2 linked regions of the Struthio camelus genome follow. The protein of the gene in region 2 interacts with the protein of the main gene of each other region in a pairwise test. Links are inferred from orthologs where the notes say so. Each region holds a gene or a part of one and is shown on either strand. Other genes may lie near its edges.

Evidence for each region. The genes of interacting proteins can lie anywhere in the genome.
Region 1: the proteins of FHL3 (region 2) and HIPK1 interact in binary tests that used the Homo sapiens proteins (3 or more experiments, as listed by UniProt). The two-hybrid records come from large-scale screens. The link is inferred for Struthio camelus from reciprocal best matches to the Homo sapiens genes FHL3 and HIPK1.

The regions. Positions count from the first base shown.
Region 1 is NC_090965.1:9,909,608-9,916,561, forward strand, and holds the start of HIPK1 (homeodomain-interacting protein kinase 1), read left to right. Parts: upstream 1-3,950; 5' UTR 3,951-5,441; intron 5,442-6,954. Other genes in the region: DCLRE1B (5' exonuclease Apollo), read left to right, coding at 1,130-1,318, 1,384-1,543, 1,608-1,787, 2,117-3,048.
Region 2 is NC_090964.1:11,190,318-11,197,501, forward strand, and holds the start of FHL3 (four and a half LIM domains protein 3), read right to left. Parts: upstream 3,002-7,184; 5' UTR 2,996-3,001; coding exon 2,815-2,995; intron 2,288-2,814; exon of another isoform or gene 2,050-2,287; coding exon of another isoform or gene 2,043-2,049; intron 1-2,042. UniProt on the Homo sapiens protein: Recruited by SOX15 to FOXK1 promoters where it acts as a transcriptional coactivator of FOXK1.

The sequences.
Region 1 (6,954 bases), on a different chromosome or scaffold from region 2:
CCTGCCACGCCATGGCATGACACAACACGACCCACCATGTCACGGCATGGCAGAGCATGACCCACCATGGCACACCACAGCCTGCCACGTCATGGCATGACACAACACGACCCACCATGTCACGGCATGGCAGAGCATGACCCACCATGGCACACCACAGCCTGCCACGTCATGGCATGACACAACACGACCCACCATGTCACGGCATGGCAGAGCATGACCCACCATGGCACACCACAGCCTGCCACGCCATGGCATGACACAACACGACCCACCATGTCACAGCATGGCAGAGCATGACCCACCATGGCACACCACAGCCTGCCACGTCATGGCATGACACAACACGACCCACCATGTCACGGCATGGCAGAGCATGACCCACCATGGCACACCACAGCCTGCCACGTCATGGCATGACACAACACGACCCACCATGTCACGGCATGGCAGAGCATGACCCACCGTGGCACACCACAGCCTGCCACGCCATGGCATGGCACAACACGACCCACCATGTCACGGCATGGCAGAGCATGACCCACCGTGGCACACCACAGCCTGCCACGCCATGGCATGGCCTGCCACGTCACACCATTGCCTGCCATGTCACGGCTTGTCACGGCCCGCACGCCGCGCCCCGCGGCAGCCCCCCTGTCACGGCAGGACACAGCCCCCCCGTCCCGCCCGGCCCCGCCGTACCGGATGACGCGCAGGACTACGGCGCGGTACCGCAGCCGGTCCGCCTGCACGTGCGGGTTGGCCAGGGCCCGCCGGAGGTCCCGCAGCGCCTCCTCGCCGCCCAGGTACGGCATGGCCGGGCCGGGCCGGGCCGAGCGGGCCGCGGAGCAGAACCGGGCCGCGGGGCAGAGCCGAGCGGGACGCGACCTCGCGCCGCCCCGGGGCGGCGAGGCACCCGGACTCCCCTCGCGGCCCTGGTGCAGTGCGCATGCGCTTGCGCCCCCGCCCCCGCCCCGCCCCCTGACGCTCCGGCGCCGCCCCCGCCCGCGCCCCGCCTGCGCCTGCGCCGCGCCGCCCGCCGAATTGGGCGGGAAGCGGCTGGGCGGGAGCCGCGCGCTGCCTGCGCGCCGGGCCCCCTGCCGGCCCGGGGGGGGCCGCCGCCGCCGCCATGAACGGGACGGTGATCCCCGGCACGCCGATCGCCGTGGACTTCTGGAGCGTGCGGCGGGCGGGCGGCGCCCGCCTCTTCTTCCTGTCGCACCTGCACTCGGACCACACGGTGGGGCTGTCCAGCACCTGGAGCCGCCCCGTCTACTGCTCGCCGCTCACCGCCCGCCTCCTGCACCGCCGCCTCCAGGTACGTGCCCGGGGCCGCCCCGCCCGGCCCTCACCGCCCGGCCCTCACCGCCCGGCCCCTTGCAGGTGCCGGCGCGCTGGATCCGGCCGCTGGAGGTGGGGCAGAGCCACGTGCTGGGCGAGGGCGACGCGGGGACGGTGACGGTGACGCTGCTCGACTCCAACCACTGCCCCGGCTCCGTCATGTTCCTCTTCGAGGGCGCCTTCGGCACCATCCTCTACACAGGTACGGGGCGGGCCGCCGCGGCCCCGCCGCCGCCGCCGCCCGCCCTGACGCCCTCTCCTCGCAGGGGACTTCCGCTACGCCAGCGCCATGCAGCAGGAGCCGGTGCTGCGGGGCCGCCGCCTCGACCGCCTCTACCTGGACAACACCCACTGCCACCCGGGGCGCAGCCTGCCCTCGCGCCGCTGCGCCGCCCGCCTGGCCGCCCGCCTCATCCGCGCCCACCCGCGCCACCACGTCGTCGTGGGTGAGGGCCACGGCCTCGTGTCCCTGCGCGCCCCGCCTCAGCCAGGCCGCCTGCCCTCGGCCTCGCGCTCCCCCGGCGCCGCCTCCCCTCGGCAGCACTTCGTTCCCCGCAGCGCCTCTCGGTGCCCTCTCGGCACCCTGCCCTCAGTGGGGCCGTGGTCCCCTCAGCAGTGTGTCCTCCTCAGCCTGGCCTCGCGCTCCTTAGCATCCTCCCGGCAGCGTGGCCTCGTCCCCCTCAGCGTGGCCCCCTTGCAGAGCCTTGGCCCCCTCAGCATGGCCTCGCGCTCCCTCAGCATGTCCCTGTCCCTCTGCTGATGGTTTTACTTGCAGGTGTGTACAGTCTGGGGAAGGAGACGCTGCTGGTGGATTTGGCGGTGGAGTTCAGCACCTGGGTTGTGGTGAGCCCCTGGCGCCTGGAGCAGATGCGGCTGCTGGAGCTGCCCGATGTGTTCACCACCGAGGAAGGGGCCGGCTGGATCCGTGCCGTGGACGTTGCTGAGATCCGCTGGGACACTCTCGTCAGCTGGAACCTGCTGCACCCTACCATTGCCATCCTCCCCACCGGCAGGCCTGTGAAGGTCACCCACCCCAACATCTACCCTATTCCCTACTCTGACCATTCATCCTTTTCAGAGCTCTGTGAGTTTGTGAAGTGGCTGAAACCATGCTCAGTCATCCCGATTGTGAGGGGCAGCATGTGCCAACTTTACTTTGAGAAATATCTGAGTTCTGATCGCCAAGCACTTCCTGACCTCAAAATCCCAGAGCCTGTGCAAGAGTTTGTACAGCAGAAAAAGAAAAAGAAAGGACAGGAATCTGTGTGTCCATTGAAAAGAGCTGCTCAGCGTTCTGTGCCTCGAGGAGTTGTTTTTGAATCCCCAGAGAAATATACTGGCAAGTCTGAAACGTTTAGGGATGTTAAGGTTCATCAGCAGAACTGTGAGTCAGCTTTCTGCTCCAAAGAAGGCTGCATTTGTTGTCGCACATGCAAGGAGAAAGGGGAGGAAATCAAGATGGATATCAACAGCCACAGTCCCCATAGCCAGTGTACACCAGCTCAGCTGAATGGAGAACAGCCAGCAGTAGTAATATCGACTAACCTTGTTAGCCAGTCACCTGTTTCTGATGAGACTGTTCCATGTGGATTGGCAGAGCAGTATTTACTCAGTCCTTTAAATGTCCTAAAGCAGAATTCCTTAGAGAAATTTGACAAGCTGGTAGAAGAATTCTTTAGGAGGGAGGAAGCATCTGGAAACTCATGACACTTGCCAATGCAATTAATAACAGTGATCCTGACAGTCTTACGATTGCATCCCGTTCTTGGAGTTTCCCATCAGGAGAATGCTTAACTATGAGGGTTTTATTTTCTTTACTCTTTATTAGCAGAGAAGGCAGCAACTTGAACTAGTTTGTATATGTTAGGATTTCTCTTTATTTATTTTTTCATTTGTCTAGCTATGCCAGGGCTTCAGACTACACTCAGGTGGTGTAGTCCCACTACAAGCATGCCCTATATTTACATTTTGCAGTGACTTATCAGTCTTGTGGCAAAAGATATTGCCAGATTGATTCAAATTGAGCAGCAGAGGGCGTGAGCCATCTGCAGCAGAACTAACGGGTTTGAATGTAATGAGAGAAGCAAAAAAGGGGAATCTGAGAGCCCCAAATGTTCCTCTTTCTATATTTTGCAATGCCTCATTGGCGATGACCAATTCATTCCAAGATGCATTACAAATATTATGTATTAAACTATGTTTAAAAAAAGATACTTAAAGAAATCTAGAAAATGAAGTGCCTTTACATCTATCAATGAATCACTGGAATTCCTCCAAACACAGCATTGCTTTTGCATCTTGCCAACTGCAGCTGGCTGCAGCTCTGCTCTTCTGAAAACACTGCATTAATGTTAACTATAAATGCTCTTTCAGGTCACAGGCTGGGAAGGTAGGAATTGTGTGGATTCTTGGGTTTTGGACCTTTCAGAATGGCTTACTATAGCCTCTGCAGTCTCTGCACTCAAGTCTACATGTTTGAATGTTTCCGCTTGACTGCAAAGTGCTTCTGGTAACTGTAAGCATTCTGCTAGGTGCATTGCTTTCCCATGGACTGCCTGTTCTTTCTAGCCAATGGCAAATGGGATAGGAGTTAATGAAACATTTGCTCACTGGTGTAAAGCATTAAGTCTTTGTGGCGTTGTTTCAAAGTGCTGGAATACTGGGGCTAAACAGCAAAAATGGCTCTTTTAGCTTGGAGGTCAGGCACTTCTGCCTCCGCTTGGAGGTCAGGCACTTCTGCCTCCACTTGGAGGTCAGGTCAACTGCAGAGAGCCTGCAGCCTGGCTGTCACAATCGGGAAGTGTCAGCAATGTGACTAGCCAGGGGGTACACACAGCGAAGTCTGAAAACTTGCCAAACTGCTCTGGCAACAGATCACAAACTGGTTCCCCACAGGGTCGCAACAGCAGCGCTAGAGTGGAAGCAGTCACTGGGCTCTTTCCTGGAGCACCAAGCCAGCTTGTTACTGAACTTTTCTAACCTTCCTGCCATTACTTTCCACACCAAATGTTTCACATGCTCCTGGTCAGGATTAGAGTCTCTCCTGCAAGGTCTCTGCAAGGCCAGTCAGCTAGATAGATTGAATTCCCTGAATCAAGCCAGGTAAGGAAATGTTTGCTCTTTGAGTAAAGCTAGGGCTAATGAGAAGCAGAGGTGCCTGTAGATGCGGCAGCCACACCTGCTAAAAACAAGGCTGTCTTGAACTGTAATTGTGATGACAGCCAGCGTGGGTATGTTTGGAAAGCTACCTGGTAAACATGAGTCCTAGCTCCCAACCCTGTGCCTTACTGGCACTGCAGCATTATCACCGTAATATCAGCAATGCCTCTTAACGGGACCAACTGTTGACTCTGCTTGCTGGCTGCCAGTGTTGGAAGGGATGGAGCAATGTTCTGCGTTTTGCCTTACAAATACTCTTCTTCAAAAGTGGTAGCAAGGACAGCTCCAGCCTCTTGCCATGGTCTACATGTCCCATTTCATGGAGATTTGTGTGGACTATTTGCTGGTCAAAATTAAACTGCAGAGCCCCATCAGCTCAATGTCAGTGGAGGCGCTGCATCTTTGGTAACACCTGAGGCTACCAGCAGAAGCATTGTCCTACGCTGGCAGTGGTTTGTCTGCTGCTGGCTGCCTTGGAGATGCTGGCTTGTATTTTAACATTGTTGAAATTTAAATGATTCATTTGACAGGCAGGTGAGTGAAACAGTGCCTGAACTCCCAGATTCCAGGTCCTGCTCTCGGCTTGCAGCCTCTCCGTGGCTCAATGAATGCTTGCATTCTGAGTCACTGCTCCATTTAGGTATGTGGCAAATGACCTCTGAGATTCGATGCATTTTGCTAATGATGTTTTGTGGCATGCAGCCTTTTCTCTTCTATTCTCATCATCCCTAAATGAAGTAGACAACCTCCAGGTGAACCTCTGAGCAAAATGGAGTAGTAAGAGCGTTAGTGCTTTGCAGAGGCCACAGAGTTCTTCAGATCACACACACAGAACTGAAAATTGCAAAGACTTCCAAAGGCTGGGAATCTGTTCCACATTTTCTGAACTTCCAGTTAAAACTGCAGAAGAAATGCTGGGTTCTGCTACTGGAGCATAAAAGGTAATTCCTGCCACTTCAGAAGGAAATTATCCAAATTATGTAGAACTAGGGGAAAGCAAAACCTCTCCATAGTTTTGAAAGAAAATACAGGCAGGAGAGTCTTGACCAACAGTCAGCATGGAGATCCTTGCACAGCTAGGTGCGTGAGGTGTTTTAGAGTGTAAAATGTGTTTCCTCCTTCTGTTAGGCATAAATACTTCTATTGTGTGTTATCCTAAAATCCTGACAAACAAAACATGGCCTTCTGGGGAAAATTGTGGCAGTGACCTATGGGGGAGCTCTAAGATTTCTGAGAATCCTTCAGCTACCTCTCGAGCCTCCTGGCAATAAATAGCTGGCCACTTACAGGCCTTGTTCTCCCTTGTGCTTGCCTCCACAAGTTCCCTCTGTTCCTACCACTGGCTTAGCTCGCAGGGGGAACGTTACTGCAGTCAAAGAGCTGGAGCGTCGTGTACACCGGGTCTGAACCTGATGCTTGCAGCTCCGCTGCATGGAGCTCTGTCAGAACTGCTACTGTGGGTGCATTTTGCTCACAGCAGTGACAATGAGGGCCTGTAGCCAAGTGTTAGCTGTAGAGTATCTAGCACCATGTGTGTAGAAACTGTGTTATAATCATCCCTGCAGGAAAAATAGTAGGGTGCTCTGTCCAAAGCCCTTCCAGATCTAAATACACAGAGCATGCTTGAGCTGCTTATCTGTGTTCCACAGTTGGCCAAGCCCCAGTGGGATGAAGCAACTCACCCAAAGTCTCACAGAGTCTAAAGAAGAGGTAGGAAAAGAGCTGAGTTCCCCTTGGCAAGTGCCTTAATCACAAGGCTGCCTATTTAGCTTTTCAGCACTATTTTAACAAGCTGTGATCAAACAGTAGCCTGTCATGAGGGTAAGGCAGGCTTATGGTGCTGGGAGCAGGAGCTGTCTGCTGAGAGCTCCTTCCGTGCAGTTGCCAAGCCAATCAGTATTCTATGAAACAATTTATTTGGCTCTAGCTTCTCTATAACTGTGTAGAAAACCATGAAGGAGTGCCCTAGCTATCCTATGGAGAGAAAGAAATGGACTTAGGGATTTAGGTCCCCAGTAGGAACAGAAGTAATACATAGCTTGCGTGCTCCACAGCAAACAAGCATAATGTAGCTTTGTAGGTACCACCCTAAAGCACTCTTCTCAGTAGTGTTCAGAGCACTGCTTCCCGTAGTACAAGGCTAAAACAACTCATGACTTCACTTCTGTCTTCTCTGCTGCAGAGTTGTTGCCCGTTTCTGTAGCACAGAGTCTGTCTTGTTGCTATTTTCTAGATATGAAGATTGTGTAACAGGGAAATCCTCCTTTTCTCGTTCACCAATAAAATTTATTTGGGGAGTTTACATAATTTCCTGTGCAATGTGTCATTGCTTTACACTCACGCCAAATTAACTTAAAACCTCAGCTGTCGGGCTTTGTGCTCTTTTTGGACTCTTCCAAAAGAGCAATAGAATGTATAGAAAACGTAGAGTCACCCTGATGTCACTTGAGGTGC
Region 2 (7,184 bases):
AACCCAGTCCCTTATTAACTGTCTTCTCCAGAAAGCCTGGCAGCTCTTCTGTTGATTAAAGGTCTGCTCAACTTCAGTTTTTATAAACAAAGCAGCTTTTACTTACAGGAGCAAGCAAAGACATATAAAACAGACATTTCATTTAATGCACAGCTATTACTTAAAGAGCAAAGAGATTGTTTTTTTCCCCTTAATTTGGTCAAAATATTCCCTTTTTGAGCTGATTCTTTGTTTCCCAGTCTCAAGCATTTGTAGTTGGATTCTTGCATACAACCAGATATACCAACTGCAAAGATAACCTAGAGTTATGGCCCTGGCACTTTTGTGCCTTTCCAGGCTGTTCTCCTGGCACGCAAAACCAGCGGAGCGAAGCAAGTGCTGGGTGCAAGGTGGCGGGGAGACACAGAAATGTCACTTGTGTGCCACACGTTCTTTCCAGCAGCCCGTCTCTCCTGTTGTCTAATCAGGAACTGTGGGCACCTGTGTGCTGGCCTCCTATGAGGAGCAAGCACAGTCTCTGTCTAAAGGACCTTTTACAGCCGTTAGTGTCCCTTGCAAGGAAAGGCAATTACAACTCTGTAACCCCCAGCATATCAGCACCTTCTAAATCTGGGGAAGGATTGAATCCTGGCAAAGACTGGCTGTCTCAGGTTACCATCCCCAGAACTGCTTGCTTGTGGTCTGAAACAAAACTAAGATCATCTGTTGCCTGGGAGATGCTGCATGTGCCAGCTGCAGCCGTCCTGGAAAAAGGTAACTCTACAAGGGCAGCAGAGCTGAGCCTGGAGAGTGCAAGGAACTGCCCAATGGAGACCGGCAGGGGATCCTGGAAAGCAAGAGGACACTCTCGTCTTTTAACCACTGCCTTGCCAACACAAAAATGAAACAAGTTTCCACCTCGTGCAGCTGATGCTTTCTTGGCTTGATGAGCTGGTCCCCAGGTGTCGTTTACTTCTGCCATACACAGTTAGTTATCTGCAAGTCAGTCTCCTTGTTAGAGCATTTCTCACTGACACCCTTTTAAATTACTCTTAAATATTGCACATTCTAAATAAGAGAAGCCGTCAGTTATAATCGTCACTTTTTTTTTTACGTAAAAGCTCTAAGAAGTAAGTCCTCGTGAGGACTAAAAAGAGATTTGCAAGAAGCGACATGCTTTCCGATTTCTGCCACGCTCTGCTGCAATGCTGAAAACTGTCGCCACATCCATGAAACTAAGTGGAAACAGCTATTACAAACGGGCACAAACGCTCACAAAGTTAAACGCGAACGCCTTCGCGCGACCCAGCTAAACATCAAGTTTCCAATACGTCTGCCCCTGCAGAAGCAGCGCCGCTGCTCGCCACGCCGACGGCATCGAGCCTGGGACCGCAGCACCCAGCAGCGCTGCTGGCCCGCGGCACGGGGAAGCGCCTGCGCTGACCGTGCCTAAGAACTTGAGAAGAGATGAAAACGGCTGCTGCACAGAAAGCAGGCGCCCTGCACGAACAGGGAAGGAACAACAATGTCAGAAAGCCCCTGATGCAGGCCTGTGGCTCCTCATCCTCTCACAGAAATCCGGGATTTGGACGGCGACTGACAGGACGCAGATTCGCCGTCGACACCAAAGAACTGAACGGCCAGGGTGCCAGCACAGAGGGCCCTCTCGCCAAGGCTTTCAGGTAAAGACCAGCACGAGCTGACGTTGCAGCCCCGAAGCAGACGACAAGAAGAAACGCCCGATTTCTTAGCTGCAGTGAGGCTGCTCCCGCTCATTGCCGGAAAAGACCAGCAGCCGCCCGCGCCCGTCCCAGGAAAGCGTCCGCTGGAGTGAGAGCGCGGCGGGGTGCCCCGGCGCGATGAAAGAGCTCCCAACGCCGGTCGCGTGCTCGGGCGGTTGGAGGATTGCAGGCTTCCCTTCGGCAAGGGAACACCACCACCTGGATACCCTCCCCTCTGCTCCCCCGACCGATCCAGACAAAAATGATTTATTTACAGAGCATTTGTCCCAAATCGGCAAACCCCACAAACAAAAACCTCAGACCAGTTCTCTTAACCGTTACCTTGCATTGCTGAACGCCCCGGATCGGCGTAACACCCAGCACGGTCTCAGCGGCTGCAGCGACGCAGGAAGCCAAGGCAGGACTGGCTCTCCTGGTGGCTCTCGCGGAGTCGGTTACAGCAGGTGTGACACACCAGAGCCTCTCACTACTAAATCATCGCTGCACTAGCAAAACAGCCGAGCGCTTGCCCAGAAACAAAAGCAGTCACATCATAAACCAGAGGGTGACCTCAGCACAGGGATTGCGTTTCCTACGGAGGTTCAGATTTCATTACTTGCGGCTGGAAATTAAGACTCTTACAATTAAAGTTACTCTAAACTTTCATAAGAAACATAAGAATTCCAGATTCTAATTTTGTCAGATATAATACACTTCTGAACCCTTTTTCCCCCCGCCAATGTCATGATGACAGAAAAGAAGAATGTACAAGCGAAACTCATAACAGAAAGTTAAATGCTAATAAACATCATTATTAATAAGCCTTTCCTAACAGGTCTCGGTGCTAACGAAGTCAGCAGCAGAACTCGCATCGATTTCCACTGGAAAGGACTAGTACAGAATGATCTACTTGGGGGTCCACTTAGTCAACGTTTTGGGACTGCCCCCTTCCCCTCTTAATCAGAGTTCCAGTTCTGCATCTTCTTCCAAAATTAAAACTCAAAACTATAAAGGATCTGAAAGCACAGATTTCACCATTCCTTAGTTGAGTCATTGTTCCACAGAGCATGAAGCATGATATAATCCGAGCACATGGTCTAACACCTTCACCAACCTGAAACGCGTTTGTGATTTTCCACACACAACTCTTCAGGGTCTCCAAAAACAACACATGCAAGACTTTTATACAGGCTCAGGGGGCCAGGCTTAATGTTCCTGTGACTTACATGACGTTTGCATAGGGTTGAGAAATACAAGAAATAAAACTTTTCTTGGTCGAGTTCCATGCAACACATTGTGTACTTTTTGCTATTAATGACTCCTTGGTAAGTACCACTATCACTCTACATATTCCAGAACACTCTGAATGAGATATTACAGCAATTTTCTTGGTATCAAAGTTTTCACTGAGTGTAAGATAGCTAGTGAAATACCTTAAGATTTCATTGCTGGCTTCTTTATGTAAAAATGCCCGCCCGTATGCTGAGAAAAGGGCAGGTGAAATGACCTAATTCTCATTCCAGTATATGAACTAAATATTAGCGTCCCTAAACAGAAAGTTTAGCTCCCTGTCTCCCTATTGCAGATAACACAAACATATGTGATGATCCAGTGCAAGATCGTAAGTGGAAGAGTGCTTAGTTTCCAGAGTTAACCAGACCTAAAATCCTGTACCTTTCATAGGATTACTGCGTCCTCCATTCCCTGCAAGATGTCACCAGCAAAAACATTATTTGCTCTTACAGCACCTGCAGGGCAGGGAGTTACTCTACCTCCCTCCTGGGACCTACACCCTGGAGGGTTTTGGCACAATGCATGCCTGGTGGAGCTAAAAATAGAACCAAAATCTGAGTCCTGTCCAGTGATTAAGCTGGAAAGCTTATTTCCTCTTCTGACATGGAGCATCTATCCCAATCCACCTGGAAACCACAAAGTCCACTGATGCACGTTATAGACCCACGTCCAAATGGATTCCACAGACCGAACTGCTTCTGAGAAACGGGAAAAGGAGAGGGAGAGACGGATGGACACACTCCTGCGCAGTTACTCTGCACTCCAGATCTTTTGTCCAAATAACACTGTGTCTTTGCTAGATACTCCTGGTAATTAAACTTGGAGCTTTAAAAATGAGCAAGTTGACTCATAAGAAGGCACTGGAATGCTGGAACCCCAAGAGTTATACCTCTGTTCAAACTGTGTTAGTTCTGAAGAGCAGAAAAGCCATTTTCTTCTTAAATGAGGGTAGTGGAATTCCAAGGTAAGGTCAAAAGCATGGCAAAAGTCAGTAGTTTAGGCCAGTACTTGGGATCGTGATTCTCAGAAGTAGTCTTTGTGCTCAAAGACAGTTCAGGATCTGCTTTTTTCGGTTCTTCACTATCCTAGCATCCTAGGCAACATCTAGGAATACCGCCCTCAGCTGCAGACCTCAAGGAGGAATTTTTTTGTCTTCAACCACGCTGAAGTCAGGCCTTTCAGTTCAACATTTTATATTATTACTATTTAACATCTTTTGAGCCTGAAAATCCAGAACATTTTTCCACAACAGTTCTAAGTTAATATATATGCTGTTTTAGTAGCAAACGGCATGATCTGCAGCCACTGACTGACCTACAACAGAAATTATCCAACTTCTAACACACTCACATGAGGGAAATCCTGTGGGCTTACATTATTCAAAAATAAGGTTGCTTTAGGGTTACAGGAACAACACACAGCCAGAACGGGCTTTAAACTGGGAAGATACAGTTTGCAAATAAACTGCCATTTGTTTTTACAATTCTCATTTTATATTAAGAAAAAAAAAAAAAAAAAGATCCTCCCCAAAGACCTCAGGAGCCAGAGCTCAGCCTGGAAAGGATTTTTATGGTCACACTGTAAACCCACAGAGAGTAGGGGGTCTCAAACGGAAACAGTTCATTATAGCTAAAACACTGATCCTGGGTTCTGCCTGGAACCAGCTGGGATTATTTCTGCAGTTAAGCAAATTACTGTTACTAAAATCCACTCTGATATTCAAAGGCACATGTAGAAGATGCTGAATAATCACTCTTCTTCCCAGATAACAAACTAGGAGCTGTATTTGTTGAGGGGTTTCTGTGTGAGCACTTGAAAACTAGATAAACAAATTCAAAATATCAAGGCCATATTTACATTCCAGGGCAATAATTAAATATCTATAATCTTGTGGTTCCAATATTCTAGGTTTTTCTATGCACTAAGATATTTAGTCATGTAAAACATCTGTAGCAGCTGGAAGACATTCATTTGGCCTGCTAAGATTCATTAGTTTAAAAATACATAAATAAAGTGTTCATTTCCCTTCCAAAATGCTAACACTGCTCCTGTCAGTTCTGCTAGGGTGCTTGGTGAATAATGCTTATGCAATCTTCTCAGCAGGAGGTATCAGATATCATAGTTTCATAAATGCATACAAATATCTTAACTAACACAAGGCTTGTATTTAGGTTAATGCCCTTTTGTGAACTGGTACTGACTAACCTAAGTCATTCACAGCAATATGAAAACCAGCTTGCAAAGAGCTGAATCCTGTTTTTATTCTTTCTCCTGTCCTCCTGACCTCCCAGCACTCAGGAGACTGCTGAAACCTGCTTTTAAAATTTCCTGATGCACAGAAGTTTTTCTTCAGAACTGGGATTGAGATACCTGTGTTAAAGGATTACAAAACCAAAGCCTCCATGCATACCCCTCTTTTTTCTCCAAGAAGTTCCACATAATTTAATACAACTTTCTAAAATAATCAGAGTAAACACAGGGAACAGCTGAGACTGTAAAAAAGAGTCGAGCTTGGCTTAGTATCTGTAGGAAATCGCTTTTCTGGGGAACAGTTTGCAAAGGGTTATTTATTGGCTAGCCCTTTTTCTTTTGCTGGAAGATGCTGAGGTTTTAGTGAAGTTTCTGCAGAGTATGCAACAGTATTCAGCATTCACTCAGCTAATGAGTTAAATCGTTGCAGCTCTCCGATGACTTGAAGATTATGGGTGTAGAAAAAGGGAATGCTCGGCTAGGGGAATGTTCAGCAGCCACGACCAAACTGCGGTTAAAACAGACACCAATGATCCTATTCAGCTCCCAAACCTCAGACAGTTTCCATTTTCTCAATAACAAAGCATTTTTGTGGAGTGAGGTAACAGGCCTCCATCTGCCAGGTCTAACTCTCCACTAAGATTTCCTAAGAGTGTGGCTGAACGAGGGCTGGCCGGCTAAGCTGGAGACAGCGTGCAAAAGGCAGGCACCCTTTACGCCTGAGAAACAAAGGGACAAAGCTGTAGCAGGGCAGACTCGGAGAGGAGCCTTTTTCGGACAGTCACACAAATTCTGCTGGGAGTTTGTATCAAAAGCAGCCTCAAGTACCCTCCAACCAGCGTACGACAGGAGAGCTCAAGAGGCCGAGGAAAGAGTGAGACTTTTCTCTAAGGATGGACTGGATCAGGCAGGAGGGAACAGAGGACAAACACATGTTGTAGCTTCGGTACTTAGCAATCCAGCACGGAAGTGTCAGAAGTACAGAGCGCTGTGATTTAAAAAGTGAACACAGCTCTCTGAGGGCATATGAAGAGCCGCACCGTGAAAATGGGAACGTAACCACCCTGCTTCCCTGGAGGACGGCAGCTCACAGGATGGGCTGCTCAAGCAGGGACATATCCTTCCACATCTGAAATGTTGTATTTCCAAGCCAGAATAGGTTACAGCCTGGGAACAGAGGTCAGCTTTTTATTTATTTATTGGCAGCCTGTAGCTTGGCATCTCAATTCCAGGGATGCTGAGCACCTATATCCTTCCTTTTGGTTCCAGGCAAAGACAGTGTTCAGCTTCTCTGAGAAGCAGCCCGTTCGCTCAGGTTCAGATACAGATTCTGCCTACTATCAGGACTCCCAAATCTGACTCCTCCTTTAAGCTGTCACTTGTCAGCTCCCTTGCAATTCCCAGAGTCTTAGCTCCAGATTCAACATATCCCAACATACCAGCCCTACCAAAGGATGAGCAGAAGGGAACACCACAACCTCAGGCTCACTCGTAAAAACAAAGGCAAAACCCTTGGAACAGCCCGGGGAGGTGAGGCTGGTTGGAAAGAGTTTGGAGGAGAAGGTGACTGCGCAGCACACAGGTCAGGAAAGGATCTTCATGGCATATGTGAGAGTCTTCTGATCTATTTTTTGTCCCTGCATATAGAAGGCTTTAAAAAGTAACGCAGGAGATTCTACTGGACACTGCAGCAGCTGGTGTGAATAGATGACCTGTGACTCGAGCAGGTCAGAACATACAGGACCCCAACTTAGCTACTTCTCTGGTGAATAGTGCTGCCAAGGGCAGTTATTCATGCCACTTGGAGCCCTCATTCTGCCTGCGTGACAGGAGCCATCTGAACACAAGTTTTAAGGATAATCACAATTCAAGGGGTTTAGAAAACATTTATAGAGAATTTATTCTGATGACATTATTTTTAGTCTGGTGCATCAGGTTTTG